Coturnix japonica: one gene and its partners. The protein of the gene in region 3 purifies or fractionates together with the protein of the main gene of each other region. This does not show direct contact. Links are inferred from orthologs where the notes say so. Each region holds a gene or a part of one and is shown on either strand. Other genes may lie near its edges. The genes, in order: PRR5L, FBXW7, RICTOR and MLST8.

What was found.
Region 1: the proteins of RICTOR (region 3) and PRR5L purify together in Homo sapiens (affinity purification with western blotting; 3 studies listed by BioGRID and IntAct, with this or other methods). This does not show direct contact. The link is inferred for Coturnix japonica from reciprocal best matches to the Homo sapiens genes RICTOR and PRR5L.
Region 2: the proteins of RICTOR (region 3) and FBXW7 purify together in Homo sapiens (affinity purification with western blotting; 3 studies listed by BioGRID, with this or other methods). This does not show direct contact. The link is inferred for Coturnix japonica from reciprocal best matches to the Homo sapiens genes RICTOR and FBXW7.
Region 4: the proteins of RICTOR (region 3) and MLST8 purify together in Homo sapiens (affinity purification with western blotting; 14 studies listed by BioGRID and IntAct, with this or other methods). This does not show direct contact. The link is inferred for Coturnix japonica from reciprocal best matches to the Homo sapiens genes RICTOR and MLST8.

Annotation. Positions count from the first base shown.
Region 1 is NC_029520.1:17,281,458-17,286,713, forward strand, and holds the start of PRR5L (proline-rich protein 5-like), read right to left. Parts: upstream 3,355-5,256; 5' UTR 2,088-3,354; intron 1,700-2,087; 5' UTR 1,622-1,699; intron 428-1,621; exon of another isoform or gene 1-427. UniProt on the Homo sapiens protein: Associates with the mTORC2 complex that regulates cellular processes including survival and organization of the cytoskeleton.
Region 2 is NC_029519.1:29,729,798-29,734,478, reverse strand, and holds part of FBXW7 (F-box/WD repeat-containing protein 7), read left to right. Parts: intron 1-2,051; coding exon 2,052-2,262; intron 2,263-3,250; coding exon 3,251-3,519; 3' UTR 3,520-4,681. UniProt on the Homo sapiens protein: Substrate recognition component of a SCF (SKP1-CUL1-F-box protein) E3 ubiquitin-protein ligase complex which mediates the ubiquitination and subsequent proteasomal degradation of target proteins.
Region 3 is NC_029547.1:11,177,935-11,182,615, forward strand, and holds part of RICTOR (rapamycin-insensitive companion of mTOR), read right to left. Parts: intron 3,570-4,681; coding exon 3,487-3,569; intron 2,206-3,486; coding exon 2,118-2,205; intron 1,156-2,117; coding exon 1,065-1,155; intron 941-1,064; coding exon 874-940; intron 755-873; coding exon 674-754; intron 1-673. UniProt on the Homo sapiens protein: Component of the mechanistic target of rapamycin complex 2 (mTORC2), which transduces signals from growth factors to pathways involved in proliferation, cytoskeletal organization, lipogenesis and anabolic output.
Region 4 is NC_029529.1:6,429,319-6,434,790, forward strand, and holds the start of MLST8 (target of rapamycin complex subunit LST8), read left to right. Parts: upstream 1-1,914; coding exon 1,915-2,043; intron 2,044-2,185; coding exon 2,186-2,237; intron 2,238-2,304; coding exon 2,305-2,467; intron 2,468-2,545; coding exon 2,546-2,621; intron 2,622-4,041; coding exon 4,042-4,194; intron 4,195-4,364; coding exon 4,365-4,489; intron 4,490-4,674; coding exon 4,675-4,838; intron 4,839-5,357; coding exon 5,358-5,472. Other genes in the region: hexosaminidase D-like, read right to left, coding at 1,799-1,916.

The DNA of each region.
Region 1 (5,256 bases), on a different chromosome or scaffold from region 3:
TTTCTAAAAAGTAGACATTTTGGGGGGACTCTGGCACAAGATTTAATCTTAGAAGAGGATACTTAAGTTTGTACTGAACATTCAGCTTGCAAGAAGAACAGCAAATTCAGAATAAAAGCCAGAGATGTTATTCTGCCCCTAATGTAAAAGTATGTTGGGACAAACAGTATCAACAAGCCTATTGCTCTCTTGGGTACAAATAACGTCTCTCTCATTAATCAAGTCTGTTCTTTGGTCAGGTTCTCACTGGCAGCTGTTTATCTTTCTAGCAAATATTGAATACAGATTAATCCATTTATTCACTTCTGGAAAACTGTGTGTACTGTGACAATAATGAAAAGATAGTAGTTATAAATACCCAAAAGGTTATTTACAGGAAAAACTCACCCATATGGAAGCCTTCGGTCTGCTGGGAACCACTGAGGCAATCTCCACCAAGGAGTGATCTCCAAGAGATGCTGCCTTAGTGGTGGTCAGCCCTTAAATGAGGTCTAGAGGAGGTGGAGTCAAGCTCCACCCCTTCAGGGGCACAGCTACATTACTCTCACCTGTGCTCCCACAGCTGACCTGACACTTGGCTCAGCTGATTAATCAGAGGTTCAGGCTGTGATTACCAATTTCCCATACACTCCACCCCTTCACTGTGTGAACCAATGATTAGGTGAGTTTTTCCTTATTACAGAGATCCAATGTGATGCTGATACAATTTCCCGTTGCAATAGATGTTGATATAATTTGAGTGATGATTTGATGGGTGTTCGCAGTCTTCCGTGGGCCAGTGCTTGATAGGTGCCATTGGAGACAAGCCATCTTGAGGTGCAAGTCTATCTGCGTTTCATCAGTCCCAAACGAATCATCCTCTGGTGGTCCTAGAGGCTCAGAGACTCAGGGAGAATAGTACAAATGTTTCAAAGGTACTAGGAGGGGAAGGTCTGCATTCCAAGGCATAATACAGGCCGTATTCTTATATTGGGTCAATACTACTGCTTGTACTGGATTATGCCCCGGTTGCCAATACCATACCCTTTGGCCAGATATCTGCAGTTGTGTAACTATATCTGGTACCAAAGGAGGTGTCTTAATTTGCCATACAATCAAAGAAGTTATTCTGATTAAGCACTCGCCAGAAAGCTTTGCTGCAGTCACAGACAGACAAAATCAAAACTCGTTTTCATCTTAATTTTTCCTTACTAAATTAAAGGAAATAGCCCCTGGCTGTTGAACAGTATTTCTCATCATGATAAATCAAAATACTTCATAATTTAAACCAGATTTATTTCCTCCTTTTTACACACAGGTAAAACAGAGGCATGTCAGGGAACCAGACCAAAACAAAACACAGTGATGGAGATCCAGTCAGAATATGCAGTGCTGCAGAGTAGTCTAACATCCTACCCTACCAGCAGCCTTCCTGCTTAGAACTGAAAATACAGTGCCAAAAATCACTGTCTTGCACTGCCCTTATCTCATGCAACATCTAGATCCTAAAACCACAATGCATCTTTTATGCATGGACATTCCCTCTGTGATTTTTAAAACACACGTATTCAAACAAGATTTAAATACTAATAACATGTGTAAGATATTTTTCTCACTGTAATCCAGCTTGAAGAGCACTCACATTCTTGTCTTCATCCATCCCAGCTAGCGTAGTTGCCAAAGCTGACATACAGCGGCTATCCAGTTGATTGAGCTTTTCCTGTTAAAGGAGTTTAACAATGCTACATTACTTCAGACCAGTAACAATTTCTGAAAAGAAAACCTCTTAGTTTGTACCTGTCATCCTGTCTTCCCATCAGAAGTCAGTTCATAAGCTTAAGTCTCCACTGATCTCCACAGTCTCCTACTTCATTTGGAAAGGGTAACAATTTTTCAGACTTCTCTCAGTTACACAAGTGAAATTAGGCAGTGGTTAAAAAAAAATGAAGGAAACTAAATGTGCGTACAGACTAAGGGAGCCCCATTTCCTCTGAACATCAGACTAAACCAGAGATGTAACCCAAGCCTCCCTCCCTGATGTTGTACACCCTCCAAAAACTAACCCCGGTGTTTCAGCCCAAACATCCATGAGGGATTTTGATGCTTACCTGGAACACCCTCAACAAAGTCTGGACTAAGAGAGTGTTCTGAGGAACACGGAGGTTCACCACAGCGTGCAGACTGAACACCAGGTCACCCCGTGTCATCCTTCTGGAGTCCCACAGCAGCTGCTGACAAAGCCTGACAAAGGCCGAGTTCTCAAAGATGAGCTGCTTCTCATAGTGCCGCTGGTCTTCTGATGTTTCTCAGGAGCTTCCAAACGGTAGTTAAACAGTTTGTGAACTGCTTAGTGGAGACAGCAGACTCTGAGGCCAAATCCAGTACATCGCTAGGACAGGCACACTTATAGTCTGTTAAAGAACTGTTCATTTTGATCCAGCACTGCCTTCGCTCTGAAGTTCTGCACGTCGCCCTCCAACCTCTCAAGTTCCAAGGAGCTTTGTGGAGCCTGCTTGCTCACCACAGCCTCTCTACTTTTTTCCTGCTGTACTTCATCACCTGTGCCAAAAACATCTGCCTTTTGAGACAGAAATCGGAGGTGATCCACATAGAGAGAGAAAAGTATTTAGAAACAACTTCCTGCAGTTCACATTCTCCAGGCAATCCCAGTGCCTGCCACTCCATACAACACGCCTGTTTGTAGCAGCCAATGGTCTGGGCACGGGGCTGCACCTACACAAGCACCTGGCAGCATTCAGCAGGTAACCCATCTTATTATTCATCTTTGCCAGCGGCTTGCACATCGGTGTGAAATGCTAACTCAGGATCGGGGATCTGAGCAAACCCTACCATTGGAAAACGGCCTGGAAAAAGAACATAAAATCACTGACGTAAGTCAAGTGGAACTGACACAGGCTCTTAAGTTATACCGCTACGGAAAAACATGGGGAAAAAACCGCAGACGGGAACGGATCTGCAGAAGATTCCATTGGCCTCCCGCACGTTACTCACACGCCGGGTGCCACCTCATCCTCCGACCGCTGCCGCGACCAAAAGGCCGCCCGGCAGAGAAGGAGAGCCATCCTCCCACCTCCAGCCCCGCTCCTTGACAGGGCTCCGGGTCCAAGAGCGGTTACCTCGCTCACCACAGCGCCATGACACCCAGCCGCCCTCCGCCAGCCTCGCGAGAGCTACGGCGAGAGGCGAGGGACAAACCGTGTCGGCGAGTGCCAGCCTGAGGGAAAGCTTGAATGTTGTGATTCTGCTGTTCTTGTCAGTCTTACAGCAGGTTACGGGCATAAAATGAGAGCCATGGGAAACTGTGTTTAGTTGATAGGAAGCTGAAGTTCATCATTTCTTACTGAGCATATCTAGCTGTTCAGCCTGCTGCTCAGTAATTTTTTTCATGTTCTGTACGTGCTTGCGCTGCCACCACGAGCATCTCTGGCATTCAAGGGCTTTGTGTTACAATAGCAGTATAAAATTGAATCTCATGTATTTGTTTACAGTATGGAAAGCATCGTGTTGTTTTGGAGAGACACAAACTAGCTGTGAATAAGCATGAAAATTAATAAGAGTGAAGGGAAATTGTGTTATAGCATTATTTCTGGGTTAATTGGTTTTCTTTCTCAGATTAGTTGCCATAACTTGGTCGTATTCACAAGAGTTCTGGACAGCACAGCAGGGCTGAGTTCCAACAGTCTGCTGAGCATCAAGATTCTCTCAAGTACTACAGTGGTAGGAGCTGATTGTCAGTGACAGTGATATTTGGGAGCCTTATAATATAGAAAAATAAGTTAGCAGGTAGAATAGTCTGTCAACAGTTTATTTCTAGCAAAAATACCATCTGTACTGTGCTGCACCTCTGTCTTTCAGTTTTCATGTTGTCCCTGGATATCCCCTACTGGTCCCCAGTTATTCTCTGTTACCCCCAGTTCAGCCCATCCGTCTGTCCTTTCCTGTGGCCAAACAGGTGGCCGTGTTAAATGGTTCTCAACGCTTACATTGCAGGACCATCACCAAACAACTTTCTTTCAATACATTCTAACAGTGACTAAAGCTGCCACTGCCCTTAATAAACAACAACAATCCTTTCCTATTGAAATACATACAGCATTTTTGACTTACAGTGATGGATATCACGTATTATATAACACAGCCAACCAAAACCCACAAGACAGAGAGAGAACCAAGTTCCAGGGCAGCTGATGCTTTATACAGCTCTCCCTTTGAATAAAGATGTAACATACAACACATGGTTTAATTACTTTATTTTTTAAAAAAATCCTGTCAGAAATATAGCTGTGTATTAATTACAAAATATATTAATCTATTGATACTTTAAAAGGAACAAGAGTACCTTAAATTCTGTTCAAATGGAAACCAATACAAACTTTTAACACTGACCCCAGAATAATCTCTTGCATCTATCATTAAGGTACTTGATGATGAGAGTCTCTCTAGAGAAGAGCAGAAAGGCCACCCTGATTTCTTTCATTAGCGAGTTGAAGCCCTCGCCAGCAAACACAAACAGGCATAACATGAGACCACTTCACAAGGTAGCTCATGCTATCTGAGCTCCCACATATATACATCACATACCAACATTTTCAGTACATTTTTCCCTGCCCTGCAGGGGAAGACATTCAGAGGCAAAAAGAGAACACATCTGCAATATATTACAACTGGAAAATGTGCCATAGCAGCTTTGCAAATACATGTACTAAGAGTCTGACTTGAAGCACATTCAAGATGACAGAAATTCAGAAGACAAAGAAGCTAAGCCCCGTACTGAAACACCTTGAGATCCGATAATGCCACAAAGCATCACGAGTGGCAGAAAGGTAGAGAACCTAATTCCTGAAAGAACTAGACAGGAAACTGACTGAATACTCCTATTTTTGTTTGTTTCAGGTATGACTCTCAAGGCTGCCCGCTATTCTGCTTCCATTTTTAAAGGAGTTCTCAGCCCACCCCACCATAAAGATTTCTTAAAATAGATGATCAAATTCTTAAGGTTGGAAAAAAAAAAAAAAGGCTATTTAATTAAGACTATTTCCATATGGAAACCGAGCACCTTTGTACTAACCTTAGGAAAGTGTGAATAAAGGGTCAGAGTCATGACAAGTACAGTGAGATGGGATCAATCCAGACTCTTCAGTTTTTCCATTGGCTGCAGATGCTGCTCTTATTTGAAAGAGAAAGCACTGGAACTGCAGTTAAAGGTGGGGAAAGAATGAGGGAATGGAACTAATACATAAGTTAATGTTTCATTAA
Region 2 (4,681 bases), on a different chromosome or scaffold from region 3:
GGATGCAAAATTCTAGTCAAAGTCTTAGCAATGCCTGCTGTAATGGAGAAGTTACTTTATGTATATTGTGTAGCATATCCCTATTTTGGATACCAGAGTGTGTGTTTTTTTAGTGTATTTTCACTGGAACTGCAATGTATTCCAGTCAGCAGGCTGCACGTGCCAGTTGCTCTCTAAATCTTCTGAACCAAAGTGTCACTCAGCCATGACTGCAGGTAGAGATCTGAGGTGTTCTAAGATGCAAGAGGTTTTACAAAAAGAAGCAGTCGGATAGCCGGGTTCTTTCTTCTCTTGTTACTAGATACCAGCAAGCCCACATGGACAAGTAGTGCTAGTTTGCTCTGGCTATCCCAGGCTGCAGTTTTACCCTTATGTATTCTTGGCCAAGCTCAGATCTTCATAACTCTCTCTTTTACATGCTTCACTTTGCGTCAGGTTCTACCATTTGGAATGTCCCACTAATCCTAATGAAAATACTAAGTGCGAGACACCCAGAGCTCTTACTGATATGTCTAAATTGTCTGTGAACTACATTGTGAACTGAACTGATAGTGTCCCTGCACCAAGTATTATTTGTTAGTTTATTCTGCAAATTAAAGTTATGCTGACCAATCCACAATTCTCCAGTCTCCCATCCTTGAATAAAGAGAGAAATGGTACCTGCCATCTGAAGCCTTGTCTGTCTTCCATGACATCTCAAAATAGCATCAGATGTCTCTAGGATTGTCTTCAAACAACTTTGCTGTACGTGTGCATTTTCTCCATTCTAGTGGAAGTTCGTATCAGTTGTCACTGGTGTTAGCCTACACTCAGATGGCTGAGGACTGAAGCAAAAAGAAAACTTAAATAGCCTTAAATAGCCTCATCTGGTGTTTCTTTCTCTTCTCAATCAGCTTAAACAAGCTTCTAAAAAATCTTTTCTCCTTCCTTCCTTTTTTTTTTTTTTTTTTTTTTTTAATTAATTAACCAAAATGGCCTTTTTACCATCTGTGACAGCTCTTGTTAGTTCCGTCTTGTTTTGCGCTCTGCTTTTCTGATTTTGTCCCAGCGTACTCCTTTGTACACTTCTGTTGATCTCATTTCTTCTTTTATACAATTCCCTATACTTCAACCAAGTAGGTCTTGGTAATTTACTGCATTTCCTATCTTTCCCTCAAACAAGGATAGTTTGTTTCTCTAAGAAGGTGCCAGCTCTCCTGAACTCTTCTTCTCCTTAGAGATGCATAAAAACCTCATGGGAAGGAAGTCTCAGTTTATTAAGTATTCCTCCTTGAAGCCCTCTGTTTTTATTCTTCCACTCTTTTTCCTTCCTTTTGTGGGAACCCTGACTCATGGCGTCATCGCTCTCACTCAGGTTACTTTTCATCTCCATATCCTCTACATGTTTCATCTCTTGGTCAGAAGTATCCAATCTCTTCGCTGATTTCTCTGTGTGTTCATCTTCTACATATTTTTACTTTGTATCTTGGTACATGCCCAGAAAATCCAGAATCTGAACATCTGAGTCAGCATATCTACTTTTCCCAGCAGTGAGTAGGAAGTTAAAAAGTTCCTTGTTGCACATGATTACGCCGACAAAATGTTTGACCCAGCATTTTTCAATTTCTTTCCTTCTATTTTCCTGTATTGTTTTTATGTCTGTTATTTCTTTTCTCCAGCTTAAAGTCCCTCTGACTTGTGGAAAAGCAGGTTTGGCTGTTAACTTATTTATTAGGACAACAACAGCCTCTTAGTGCTGTATGCTGCAGCAGACAGGATTCTGTTCTTTTTAAGAGTTGTATTTTATTTGAAAGACCAGTGGTCCAGTGCCCTCCTCTTCAGGCTGAGTACCCCATAGGTTGTGTTCACAACTGGAAATGACACTGCCATGAATCACCAGCTCCTGTATCAAGCACAGCCATATATCTATGAAGACTGAAATGCAATTTCCAAATATATTACACATACCTAATGTTAACTTTAGTGAATTAAATGCTTAATAGCCCCGCCTTCATAGAGAGCATTGTAAGATCCTAATATAATCGTTTATAACAGATTTACCTTTCTTGTAGTTCGATGGTATCCATGTGGTGAGTGGATCTCTTGACACGTCCATCCGAGTTTGGGATGTGGAGACCGGAAACTGCATTCACACACTCACAGGCCACCAGTCTTTGACAAGTGGAATGGAACTTAAGGACAATATACTTGTGTCTGGGAACGCTGATTCTACAGTCAAAATCTGGGACATTAAAACAGGACAATGTTTACAGACATTGCAAGGTGAGCTTAAACTACCATGATAGAAATCAAGCTGCCTGCAGTAATCTGTGCTGCAGATCCTATATAAAACCTTCTAACCATTTCATACAAAGAAACAATCGTGGACCATTTACAACTTAAATATCATTTTTCTGATGACAGCTGTATGATCTTCCTCTGAATTAGAGGAATTTCATCTAATCTATTCAAATCACTTGCCTATTATGAAAGGCAGATGGCCTGAACCGAGAGAAATTTGCAATGAGTGTATTAGCCTAATAAGCCACAGAAATATGTAGGAAATGACATCTCAAAACAGCCAGTCAACGTTTTATTTAGGGGTCACTTGGATGTTTCAGAGCCTACTGATTAATTGGATTGGGAGGCAAAAGCACACTGTCTATTGCAATAAATCAAAAGAAAAGATTGGAAGAGAGTGGAAGATGTTTTCACTTTCTCAGTGAGAAGAAAGATTTTGGTTTCCATTTTTACAGTTGCCACTGACGCATCATGCACACCAGCATGTTATTTTGTTCCCTCTTCAGAAAAAGTCATTTATCATATCCAGCAATGCTGGCTGCAGCAGAAAGTTAAACTTCACTGGAAAAGCAGGCTGCTGTTTTAACAGTTTATATGTATCTGTATGTCCCTCAGTACTTACTGGTAGAGTAATCCCATAATAACACTTCAAAGGGACTTGGAGAAAAACATGCATTGTGGTCACCTCATTTCTGCATGGCTAAGTTCATTCTCATGAATTTCCAAGTATGCACTTGTCCTGCTGTGCGTATGCAACAAAACAAGATCACTGTAACAAAGAAGTATTTTGGGGGAATTTCACGCTTTGAAAACAGAAGGCAAGGTTCTGTACCTTTTAAAGCACAAAAACAGGGATAACACATCTAAGAGAAACAGCTGTGCTCAAGTGGATGGGTATTTACATTATATACAGCGCTGTCTGTCACTGCTTTCCCGTTAGAAACAAAAATGTTCTGGTTTGCTCTTCTAGGTCCCAACAAGCATCAGAGCGCTGTGACCTGTTTACAGTTCAACAAGAACTTTGTAATTACCAGCTCAGATGATGGGACTGTAAAACTTTGGGACTTGAAAACGGGTGAATTTATCCGAAATCTAGTTACATTGGAGAGCGGGGGAAGCGGAGGCGTCGTGTGGCGGATCAGAGCTTCCAACACAAAGCTGGTGTGTGCCGTTGGGAGCCGGAACGGGACTGAGGAAACAAAGCTGCTGGTGTTGGACTTTGACGTGGATATGAAGTGAAGGGCAGAAAGATGAATTTGTCCAAACGTGTAGGCGATGTTCTCCTTTCCCTCGCCCTGAGAAAAAAAAATAAAAGAAGAAAAAAAAAAAAAAAAAAAAAAAAAAAAAAAAAAAAAAAAAAAAAAAAAAAAAAAAGAAAAAGGAAAAAAAAAATCCCTTGTCCTTGGTGGTGCAGGATGTTGGCTTGGGGCAACAGATCCTAAAGACCTACAGACTACGAAGGAGAAGACAACGATAACAAACTCTAACTGACAAGAGAGGCATTCGCTGTCTCGTCACATAAAATGGCAACACCTTCGACCGGGGCAGCTTTGCAAAACTTCTGAAATGAAACCAGGTGCAATTCTTTCTTTACTTTCCTCCGACCCCTTCAACAGGTTGGAGAAAAAAAAAAAAAAAGAAAAAAAAGTTACAGTTCTTGTTACCAGGTTATTTTACTATGGAGATCCGTAAGGAAGCTGCACACACATGCCTGCTGGTACCCCCTGGCCCCTCAGCAAGGCGCTCTCCTGGCCCCGCTCTGAGCAGGGCTCCTCCCAGCCTCCACGAGCGGCCGCCAACTTGAAAAACCAGAGAGTGCCCGCAGTGAAACCAACTGCGGAACAAGGAGAGTCCATTCCTGGTGTGGAAAAGCTAAAATAGTACTGTGAATTGTTTTGTGCAGTTTTATCGGAGCTTTCTCTTTTTCTTTTTTTTTCTTTTTTTTTTTCCTTCCTTTTTTTGTTTTTCCTTTTGCCAACCATTGCCAACGTCAATCACAGTATTAGCCTCTGTTTAATCTACTTACCGTTGCTTCCATCTACACTCTTCAATGCATAAGTTGCTCTGAGGTGGCAAGTTGTCCTGGGTTCTGAGAGTCCTCTGATGGATTTAATTCGCAACGCTGGTGCTAGAAGTAGGTCTTCAATTATGGGATTGTGTTCCCACCCCTGTACTGTATTCCCAGTGGCCAAACTTATTTATGCTGCTAAATGAAAAGAAAGAAAAAAGCAAATTATTTTTTTTTATTTTGTTTTTCCTGCTGTGACGTTTTAGTCCCAGACTGAATTCCAAATTTGCTCTAGTTTGGTTACAGAAAAAGACTTTTTGCCACTGAAACTTGAGCCAACTGTGCCTCTAAGAGGCTGAGAGTGGAAGAGTTTCAGACAATTAAAGAGTGAAG
Region 3 (4,681 bases):
CCTCCTTGCTGTCAATAAGGGATGTGGAACAAAACTACTTGTTTGGCCTGAAAGGTAAATCATATCACTTCACGTATGACCAACAGTTCCTCAGCAGTCTGCAAAGTAGCACTTGCATGTGCATTTAAAAACATCATGTCTAGGCAAGAAAAAACACATAAAAGTTCTCTTCTTTAAACACAGGGAGGCAGGAGGTGTGAAACAAGGTGTCTTCCGTTTCTCTGTGTTATTCAGAGGCTATCAAGAGCTGCATGGGAAGACCAACTCAGGAGTTGCATGAATGAATATTAGGAAGTGCTGCAGCTGAATGTGCAAAAGTTTTATCTACCCAGACTGTGAAACAGAAAGCTAAGCATCCTGCCACTGCTGCCATTACACCAAAGCTCAAACAAGTAGCAACTTTATTGCTAAACACAGTAAGAGATAAGTGAATTTGCAAGATTCTAGCTTAAAAATACATCTTACTGAGGCAAGGTGGAGAAACAGTGAGAGCTGGAGATGATTCAATTCATGCTTTCTTTCAATATACGAATTGTTACGAGGTAAAAATAACTTATTATTTTGATGGAAAGTAGATGTTCCAAGTTCTGAACAAATTCCAATCTTTACAAAAAAGTAACTATTGTAAATGAATAACTAATTATACTTAATCTCAGAAAGAAACCTTACTTACCATATGCAGAAGTTCTCCCAAAAGAATAGTTGCCCTAACAGATACGTGGTCATCACTACTTGTGATCACTTCTACAAGACCCTGGAAAAAAGTTAAAAATTACAATATTTACTAAAGTAAAGTGTGTATGTTGTATCTTAGATCAATGTTCATAAAAGAAAGGTAGTAAGCATCTATTCTTATCTAATATCACCAGTTACCTCTAGAAGTCCATTGGTAATAAAAGCTGAAAGCACTAAAGCCAAGTAATTATCCATGAGATCAGGCCTAAGGAGCAAAACATGGAAATAGTTTAGAAAAAACTTTTTAAAAAAATTATTTCTGCAAGAGAAAAGCGATTCTTTTGTGTACAACTAATCAACAGCTCAGTCTGAGTTTATTGAATACCAACCTTGACCTGGCTCTATGTGGTAATATGGTTTTAGCTTCAGCAGCTACAAAGCCATCAGAGAGTCTCCAGCAGTCCTGAAATCTGCTTGGATCTACAAGAAAACAAACAAAACCAATGTTAATTACAGTTCTGTATTTCAGTGTTATTTTAATAGTAGTTAGATAAGCAGGTTTGAAATTAAAGAAAACTTTTGGTCAAAAAGGATCTACAATAAGTCATCCAATCCACACTACTACATGAAGTAAGGTCAACTTCAAAGCTAAGACAAATATTTAATTTAAATATCAAAATAATGTCTTCCTGCATTCACAAACACATGAAATTTGTCCAGCTGAAAGCACTGCAACATTTTTAAATTCGCATGCAAACTGAGCAAAGTCACAAGTTTTAAAAAAAAACTATTAATAGTGAATTTCAGTACAATGATTAAGGTTCTATAATCAGGCCCTTGACTGACATTCGTAATTGGAGTTTGGAGGATGATGGAACATCAGAATTACTCTCTTCAGGCTCATACTTTTGTAAGAGAAAAGTAGAGAACACTTTTAAAACTTGCAAATAAATAATTCTGAACTTAAAAGAGTAACTTCTCTTACTATAGACATGAAACCATACAATTACCCTAGGACAAGTTTACTGAAGAGCATTGAGGGCAATTAGCATATATTCAGTATGCAGAGATACTTTTCAGTAACTTATCTGTGTCATTCGCCACCACTCCTACACTACCAGTGCTTCAAATACTTCCAAGACTAATAATTTGTATTGTGCAGTCTTTTGTGCAAATGCTCAATTACGCTCCATTACTGATCTTCTTACAGACTTTCAATTGACACATTAAGAACTTCGGACAAAAGTGGACTTGTGTTGAACACTGAACACTGTTAATTTGCTGAAAAAGGATTTTAAACAGGACTTCAGAATACCTCATGAATTTGCTGATGAAAAGGTTAACACTAATATAATTTGCAATCCAGTGGAAAAATAAAGGGTTCACCAAATTTGTAGAAGAATTTGACAGAATTCTTGTGTGGACTGGTTCGAAATACTTACCTACACTAAGAAGTGCCTCAATAAATTCTTCTGCAACAACAGGGAGAGGAAGACGAAAAATGTCATAGAGAACCTCAAGCAGACCCCGCTGCAAAAACAAAAAACCCAGCAACTTCATATATTTAGAAAATATGGCCTTTCTGTTCACAATTAAATTAGCACTGAGGTTGACTTTTACAGTGTGCTAAAACTGGTATCTGATTTGGAGGTTTTTTATTTGTTTGGTTTTTTTGTTTGTTTGTTTGTTTTGTTTTGTTTTTTTTTTTATTACAAGCACGTTTTCTGAAGGAATCTGGAGAAAAAGGGAAGTGGATTGCTCACTTTACAATAGTGCCTTATTATCACCATAACCTAAAGAAACAAGCTCCTCAGACTACATATATATTTTTTAGAATTGTTACGGCTGTGACTGGCAGTTTCTTTGTTTAGGCAATAACCTGGAAGGAAATGCTTCTATATGCGTCAAATCCTATGTTTTAATCTCATTATTAAAGCTACAAAAGATTTGCTTTGAATTATTGTTAAAGCAAAAAATGATTTTTGTGTGCCCCAGTGGTGCAGGTGGTAGGAATGCTGCATTGCAACACCGGGGCCCGGGTGTTTGAATCCCCTGTGGCGCAAGTGGTAGAAGTGCCGCTCTGCAGCACAGAGGCTCGTATCCTGGGGGTTGGACTCAATGATCTCTAAGGTCCCTTCCAACCCGCACGAGACTATTACTATTACTATTTACTTGCAAACTACTGAAATAATTTGAATTCATGAAAATGATGGACCTTCTCTTAATGCCTGTTCTGTCTGTAGTAATTTAATATTAGCAGTACTATATAAAGTATGAATAAGAACTAAACTTAAAACCAAGATCAGTGGTTGAAAGCATATTTTTCTTGATAGCAGCAATTTCACAGTATATTAGCATATTTCTAAAATATGTTTTAATTCAGAGTAATTTCAAGACTTATATATATTCAAAAAAAAAAAAAAAAAGAAAGAAACTAAAAGTAAATAAACCAAAAGAAAATAAGATTATAGATTGTAAGAGTAAATCAGTTTCAATGCCAAAAATATTCCTGTTTATACAAATATTTTATTTACTGTCTCCTCACATCTAACACTTTTTCCCTTTTCCCTCCTCCATTCCCTCCTGTTAGACAGAGTGAGCTTTGATTCACACTTCACTGACACTGAAAGAGCAGGCAGCCTGACCACATGGAAAAATGACACAGGAAATTTAAGGGTCAAGTAAACTGAAGACTAGTGGTCTCATAATTAGATTCTGGGTTAGACCACTAAATTGTTAAAAAAAATTGCAAGCATATTAAATAAAACATCACATATATTCCTATTCCAATAGGAAATATTTAACACTTACCCGTATTTCCATATTTGGTATACAAAGTACCCCAATGAGAGACTGAATCCCAGAATTCCCAGGTTTGCACAGACTAATAATGCCTAGAAAACATTAATACACAATGTTACCTCACCAAACAAAGGAGATATTAGACACTGTTAAATGATTTCTAGTTCAAACACAAGTATAAATGACAAAAATTACTTATCACTAGCATTTTTATGTCATCTTTTAATCAATGTTCAACAAAATCTAGTAATTTCATAACTAAGAGATAGTTATTTTTGTCCTTTCTAATGTGAACAGTATGTTCAAGTTATCTCCACAAAAACAATATTCACAAAGGAATAGCATGTAGACAAAATCATAAACAAAGAATCAGTCTTAGACCAGAAGATGTACACAGAGCCATTAGCAGTTTCTTCAACAAAAGTTGTGTCTAAGCCTAACCAGTAGTCAGGTTCCTTTTAATCTCAGATGAATTCTAAGCAGCAAGATTAAATATATCTAGAATAACATTCTCTATGCATTGCTTTTAATCACCTTATCCCAAATCAGAAGGGCTCACCTTTTCAAAACAATTTTATTTTGCATAAAATTTGACGGCCTCTCATATTTGGTCCTTTTACACAGAATTTTTAGACAACTTTCATTTCTTAACATTAAAAGGAAGAACTCTTAAACTGTTCTTAATTGTCACTGAATACCACCTGAAGCTAACCATTACTTTGTTTTCAGCCTCAGTTTATACTTAAATCTCTTCATTCAAGATGTAGCTCCTGAAACAGACAGACTTACTATTTTTCTTCACGTTACAGAAGGAAAAAAACCTTACAGTAACACACTATTCTAAAAACAAATAAGTTTATTCAATAAATAACATTTTTTATTCATTTAAGGGAGGCGGTTCTTAGTACATATAAACAAATCTTAATTCAGGGAAGTACTAAAAAATGAAACGTAATAACTACTTAAACCATATTACTAAAAACAATTAGTTAACTTCTATGACATACTTTATGTGAACTGATATCCTCAAGTTCAAAACTTCCACATCACAAATACATATGTCCAGCTCATGTACCCATGAACACACTGAGAGCATTTAATAGATTCCACAGTGAACCTCAGAGACATTTTTCTCCCCCCCACCCTGAGAGTATTCAACAGTCACTTTCCCATTGCAATGCAGGAATAGATTTCCCTGCACACA
Region 4 (5,472 bases), on a different chromosome or scaffold from region 3:
CAGCAAGGGATGGCGCAGTGCTTGGCCCCATGGCACAGTGCTTGGACCCCATGGTGCCACCTTCTCACTCTGGAGGATGCTGCCAGCTCTGACACAGAGCCACAGCAGTTCCCATACAGGTGGCACTGCAGGAACCACTCTGGGACCCACATACACCTGCAGCTCCAAAGCACTTCCTTGGGGAAGCACTGCAGGGGAAGCAGAGCACACCCCATGCACCCATTCCTGCAGTGTGGGTGGGCACATAACCACCAGACCACCCCCCTTCCAGCAGCAGGGCAGATGCAAGCAGCCTCTTCTAGGGTTAAATTCAGCACCGACTGGATTTGGAAACTGAAAAAAACTAAAAACATCAAAAGATCTCGGTTGCTGCTGTTGCAGAGCTGCTCAGCTGACTGCGAGGGTTTTGTTTGTGTTGCCAGAGCGGTGGCACCAGGGGAGAGCTGCTGCGAGCCGCCCAGCGCCGCGGGCTCTGAATTAGCCCTATTCTAGATGCAACCCTAATCCCTGCCGACACCTCCTGCACAGCACAGCGCAGGGCAGCGCTGCACCCGGACCCAGCGTGTCCCGTAGGGCAGCACGGGGCCCTGGCACAGGGCAGAGCAGGGCAGCAACGTGCGGGTGTGTGCTGAGCATCCACGGCCATGGCCGCGGGTTGCGCCCTGTGCTCGTGTGATGCGCCTCGTGTGCGGCGTGGATGCGCTTTGTGATGCTCCTGGTGCCTGCAGGGGACAACGGCGGCCCTTGCTCTGTGCCATCCCATCCCTGCAGCATTTCCATCCCGCCCGGCGATGGATGTGTCAGCCCTCGTGGGAGGAGCTGTGCGGGTGCGGGAGGGTATGGGGCTCTGAGAGCGGTATGGGGAGCTCAGCACCCCCTGGCCGCAGGAAGGCCGTTCATAGACAGAGCGCTAATTGCACTGCCATGGCAACACAGCGCCTGATCAGAGCGGGGATAAATATTTGGACAGACGCTGTCAGCTCGCCAAGACCGGGCGTTTTTAATATCCGTTATCTAACTCGAATAGAGCGCAGGTTGCCCGGATCAGACCCTGCCGGTGCCGGGCTGCAGCACCGATGGCAGCAGCGGCTCCCTCCCATGGCTGAGCGCATCTCGGGGCCGTGTCCCGCTCCCCCGCAGCGCCCGGCCCCGTTCCCCTCTTACCTCCCGGAGCCGCTCAGCGCAATGCCCGGCCGTCCCGCCGCCGTTGCCATGCGGAGCCCACGCTGCCGCAGCGCGGCGGTGCGTGCGGGGGCGGCCGCGTGGAGCCCAGCCCACACCCCCGCTCCCGGAGCATCCCCGCGATTCAGCCCCGGTACCGCCGCGCCCGGTCGGTCCCGCTCCCCCGGGACAGGGACGCACCGGCCGCCCCAGGGAACGGCTGCGCCTCCCGGTGCGGTACCGCATGGCGGCCCCGGTACTAAAGGACAGCCCCAGCCCCCGGAGCGCCCCTTACCGGCAGGTGCGGTACCGGGCGGGCACCCCCCGGGCGCGGGTACGAGCACTGCCCCACGGCCGCCACCGCCGCTCTTAAAGGGCCCGACAGCAGCGCTGCACCGGCACGGCGGGACTCTGCTGCGAGCTGGCTCAGTGCCCTGCCGGCCCTGGGACGTGTGTGCCCTATTTGTGCCCTATTTGTGCCCTATTTGTGCCCTATTTGTGCCCCGTGTGCCCGCACCCCGTGTCCCGGTACCCGCACCCCACACCCCCATCAATCCCCAGCCCCCTGCCCCGCTCCGCTCGGTGCGGCCGTTCCCATCACAGCGCCCCCTGGCGGCGATGTCGGGATGTGACTCACTCAGCGCTGACAGCGCCCCGCAGTCCCGCCTCACCGCCGCTGCTCTCTGCGCATGCTCCTTTGACATCACCGACCCGCTTGCGCAGAGCCCGTACCGGCTCCGCGGTGCCGCCGCCATGAACGCGGCTCAGGGCACGGTGGGCAGCGACCCCGTTATCTTGGCCACGGCCGGGTACGACCACACGGTGCGATTCTGGCAGGCGCACAGCGGCATCTGCACCCGCACCGTGCAGCACCAGGACTCCGTATCCTGCACCGGGACCGGCGTGAGGGGGGAGGCCCCGGTGTAACGGGGGGGGGGGGTCCCAGCTTAAGGGGGGGGCCCGGTGTAGGTGGTGGGGTCTCGGTGTGGTCTCGGTGTCATACAGCCCTTAGCACTGCTGGCAGCAGGTGAACGCCCTGGAGATCACTCCTGACCGCAGCATGATCGCAGCCGCAGGTGAGCCCCGGGGTGTTTGGGGTCGCTGGGTGCCCCTGGTATTTCTGAGCTCCATTCGCTGCCATAGGGTATCAACACATCCGTATGTACGACCTCAACTCCAACAACCCCAACCCCGTCATCAATTACGATGGTGTGAGCAAGAACATCACGTCCGTGGGCTTCCACGAGGATGGGCGCTGGATGTATACGGGTGGGGAGGACTGCATGGCACGGATATGGGACCTCAGGTGAGCGCGGGGTCTGCTGCAGGGAGAACATTCCTCCGCAGGCTCGTGTGGGCTCATTCGGTCTCTTTTTTGTTGCAGGTCTCGTAACCTGCAGTGCCAGCGGATCTTCCAAGTCAATGCTCCCATTAACTGTGTCTGCCTGCACCCCAACCAGGTACACTGATTGTCACTGGCCTTCCTGGAAAAGGTGATGCTCCCTCAAATGCTTGGCAGTCTGGAGCATTGCTCAGCCCATGGTCTTGGTTGCATGGACCCCTCGGCTCTTGGTGGCTTTGCAGCTGCACGTCCATGTATTCCCTTGCAGAGCAGCTGCTGCATGACCAGGCTTGGTGCAGGCAGAGTGTGGCCCTGCCCCTGCCTTTGCTGCTTCTTGTCAGGGAACAAACATCCTCAAGCAGGGCTGGCAGCCAGCAGATGTCTCTGGCTTCTGTCTTGCTCATACTGCACCTGCAGCAAGCATCAGCATCCATGCTGGAACCATCAGGTTTTTGCTGAGCATCTTTGTGCTAGTTACCTGCTGGCTGTTGGACACAAGCAGTGCTACCAGTAGAAAAAAGCAGAGGCCAACAGCCCCAGTAAGGTCTGTGGTGTCTTCAGGGTTTGCTGGAGATCCACCACTCAGTTCAAAAGCTGTCAGAGAGGTCACTTGGGTTAAAGAAATGGAGCTAATGGGGATGATGGGGATGCATTAGTGGGCATGGTGGTGAAATCGATGCGTATCATTGCAGTGTTAATAACGCATCTGATCCATTCTTTATCCATGGTGCTGCAGGGTGGGAGCTGCAGACAAAGCAGCATAAGGTTGGTTTTTTCTCAAAGCAAATCTTTTAAAAAATATGAATAATAGAAATGTTTCTTTGCTTTTGATTTCTGTAAAAACTCAGTATTACAAATACTGAGTTCTGGACTAAATGTGAGATTGGTCATTTGGAACTGACTTCAGCCAAATGTTGCTGCTGCTGCACCATGAGACTCAGAATGTGTTGCATTAAAACAAATACTGTGCATAAATCATGTGTGTGAGATAATCACTTTGTGTTACTGTAGAAGCAATGGCTTGTGAGCAGGACAGTTAGTTAGCCCAGAGGTGGCAGTATTTAATCAGATAGATCCACAGTATGGACAGGGTGAAGCTGCTTATTCTCAGAGAGGGATTTCTCATGGCCTGGGTAAAGCCACGGCTGTGTTAGAATTGTATTTGCAGATGCTGCTAAGAGTGGGCTAGGAGGTGTCCAGGAGATGCCTCTGCACTACACAGTCAGCTAAATATATCAAGGGATGATTGTCTTCTCCTGAAGCAAGCCGTGGGTCACAGGTACAGGATTAGCTGCATCTGATGACCTGATCTCCTCTAGGGATTCTGCTAAAATTATGGACAGTGTAAGTCTGTCGATAAAAAGCCGTGGTTTTAATGGAGTGCTGCCAGCATTGTCTGCTGCTTTGAGCAGCAGGGATTGGAGCCAGAGCTGCTGCCCTTCAGCTGGCTCCTGTCCTTACCCTCCTGGAGCAGGAGAGACAGAGAAAAACCCACTTAGGCTTGTGTTCTTCAGGTACCTGTCACTATTTTCTTGCAGGCTGAGCTAATTGTGGGTGACCAGAGCGGGGCCATTCACATCTGGGACCTGAAAACAGACCACAATGAGCAGCTGATTCCAGAGCCTGAAGTCTCCGTGAACTCTGTGCACATTGACCCTGATGCCAGCTACATGGCAGCTGTCAACAGCTCGGTGAGCTTGGGCATGAGATGGGATTTGCAGTGCTGGGTTGTCCTTGTGGGGCAAAAGCAGCCAGTTTCTATGCACTATAGAGTTTTGCTGTGCTATGATGGGACACAGAGTCTAGGCTGCTTTTGGCTGAGGTCCACAGAGCCAGTCATAGACGTCCCATCTCCTTGCAGGGAAACTGCTACGTGTGGAACCTGACGGGTGGCATTGGAGAGGAGGTAACCCAGCTGATCCCCAAGACCAAGATCCCAGCACACAACCGTTATGCCCTGCAATGCAAGTTCAGCCCTGACTCCACGTGAGTGTGCTCCTCCACCAGATCAGTTCAGCTTGAATCTTGTAAGGCAGATGATATGGGGTAAAGAAATCTGATTACTAAATACGCAGGGCTTCAGTTCATTATTGTGCCAGGCCTGCATTAATGAGGCCTTTACATGTACAGCATAACTAATAAGATTACCTATGCGTGTGTTATCCTTGCAGGCTCTTGGCTACCTGTTCTGCAGATCAGACATGTAAGATCTGGAGGACTTCAAACTTCTCTCTGATGACAGAGCTGAGCATTAAGAGCAATAACCCAGGGGAAACCTCTCGTGGCTGGATGTGGGACTGTGCCTTCTCTGGAGACTCGCAGTACATTGTCACAGGTGAGACCCTGTTTGCCTGCCTGTCTGCAGGCTGGTGGGGCAGTGCTGGGTGCTGACACAGGACCTAGCATGTTATCTTGGTGGAACATTGCTAAACCCATGTATGTAAGGGAAGAAAACTCTGTTAGAGCACCCAGCCTCACGCCCACTGCACTGCATGAAATCCCTTCAGCTTTCAGCCTGTGCTATAATAAGAGGCAGCAGATGCTCTGTTAAAACTGGAGAGATGATCCACTTGTGCAGTTTGTTTCACCTGGTAGAAATGCTGCTTGCAATGCTTGCAGCCCAGTTGTCCTTTCAAAACATGTTATAATTTCCACAGTAACTTGTCTCTGAACTACTGAAGATCCCAGTACAGAAATGCCAGGTTCCTTCCTCTGCACAGCTCCCTTGCTTCTCATATCAGCACTTAACTGTTGACTGAAGCAAGAAGACAACTTTTTTTCTACTTAAAAAACAAAAGAGAAGCTTGAAATGTAACACAGTATCTCTCCCTCCTCTTCTCTCATTCTGTTCCAGCCTCTTCAGATAACCTGGCCAGACTGTGGTGTGTGGAGACTGGAGAGATCAAGAGGGAATACAGCGGGCACCAAAAAGCAGTTGTCTGCCTTGCTTTCAATGACAGCGTGTTGGG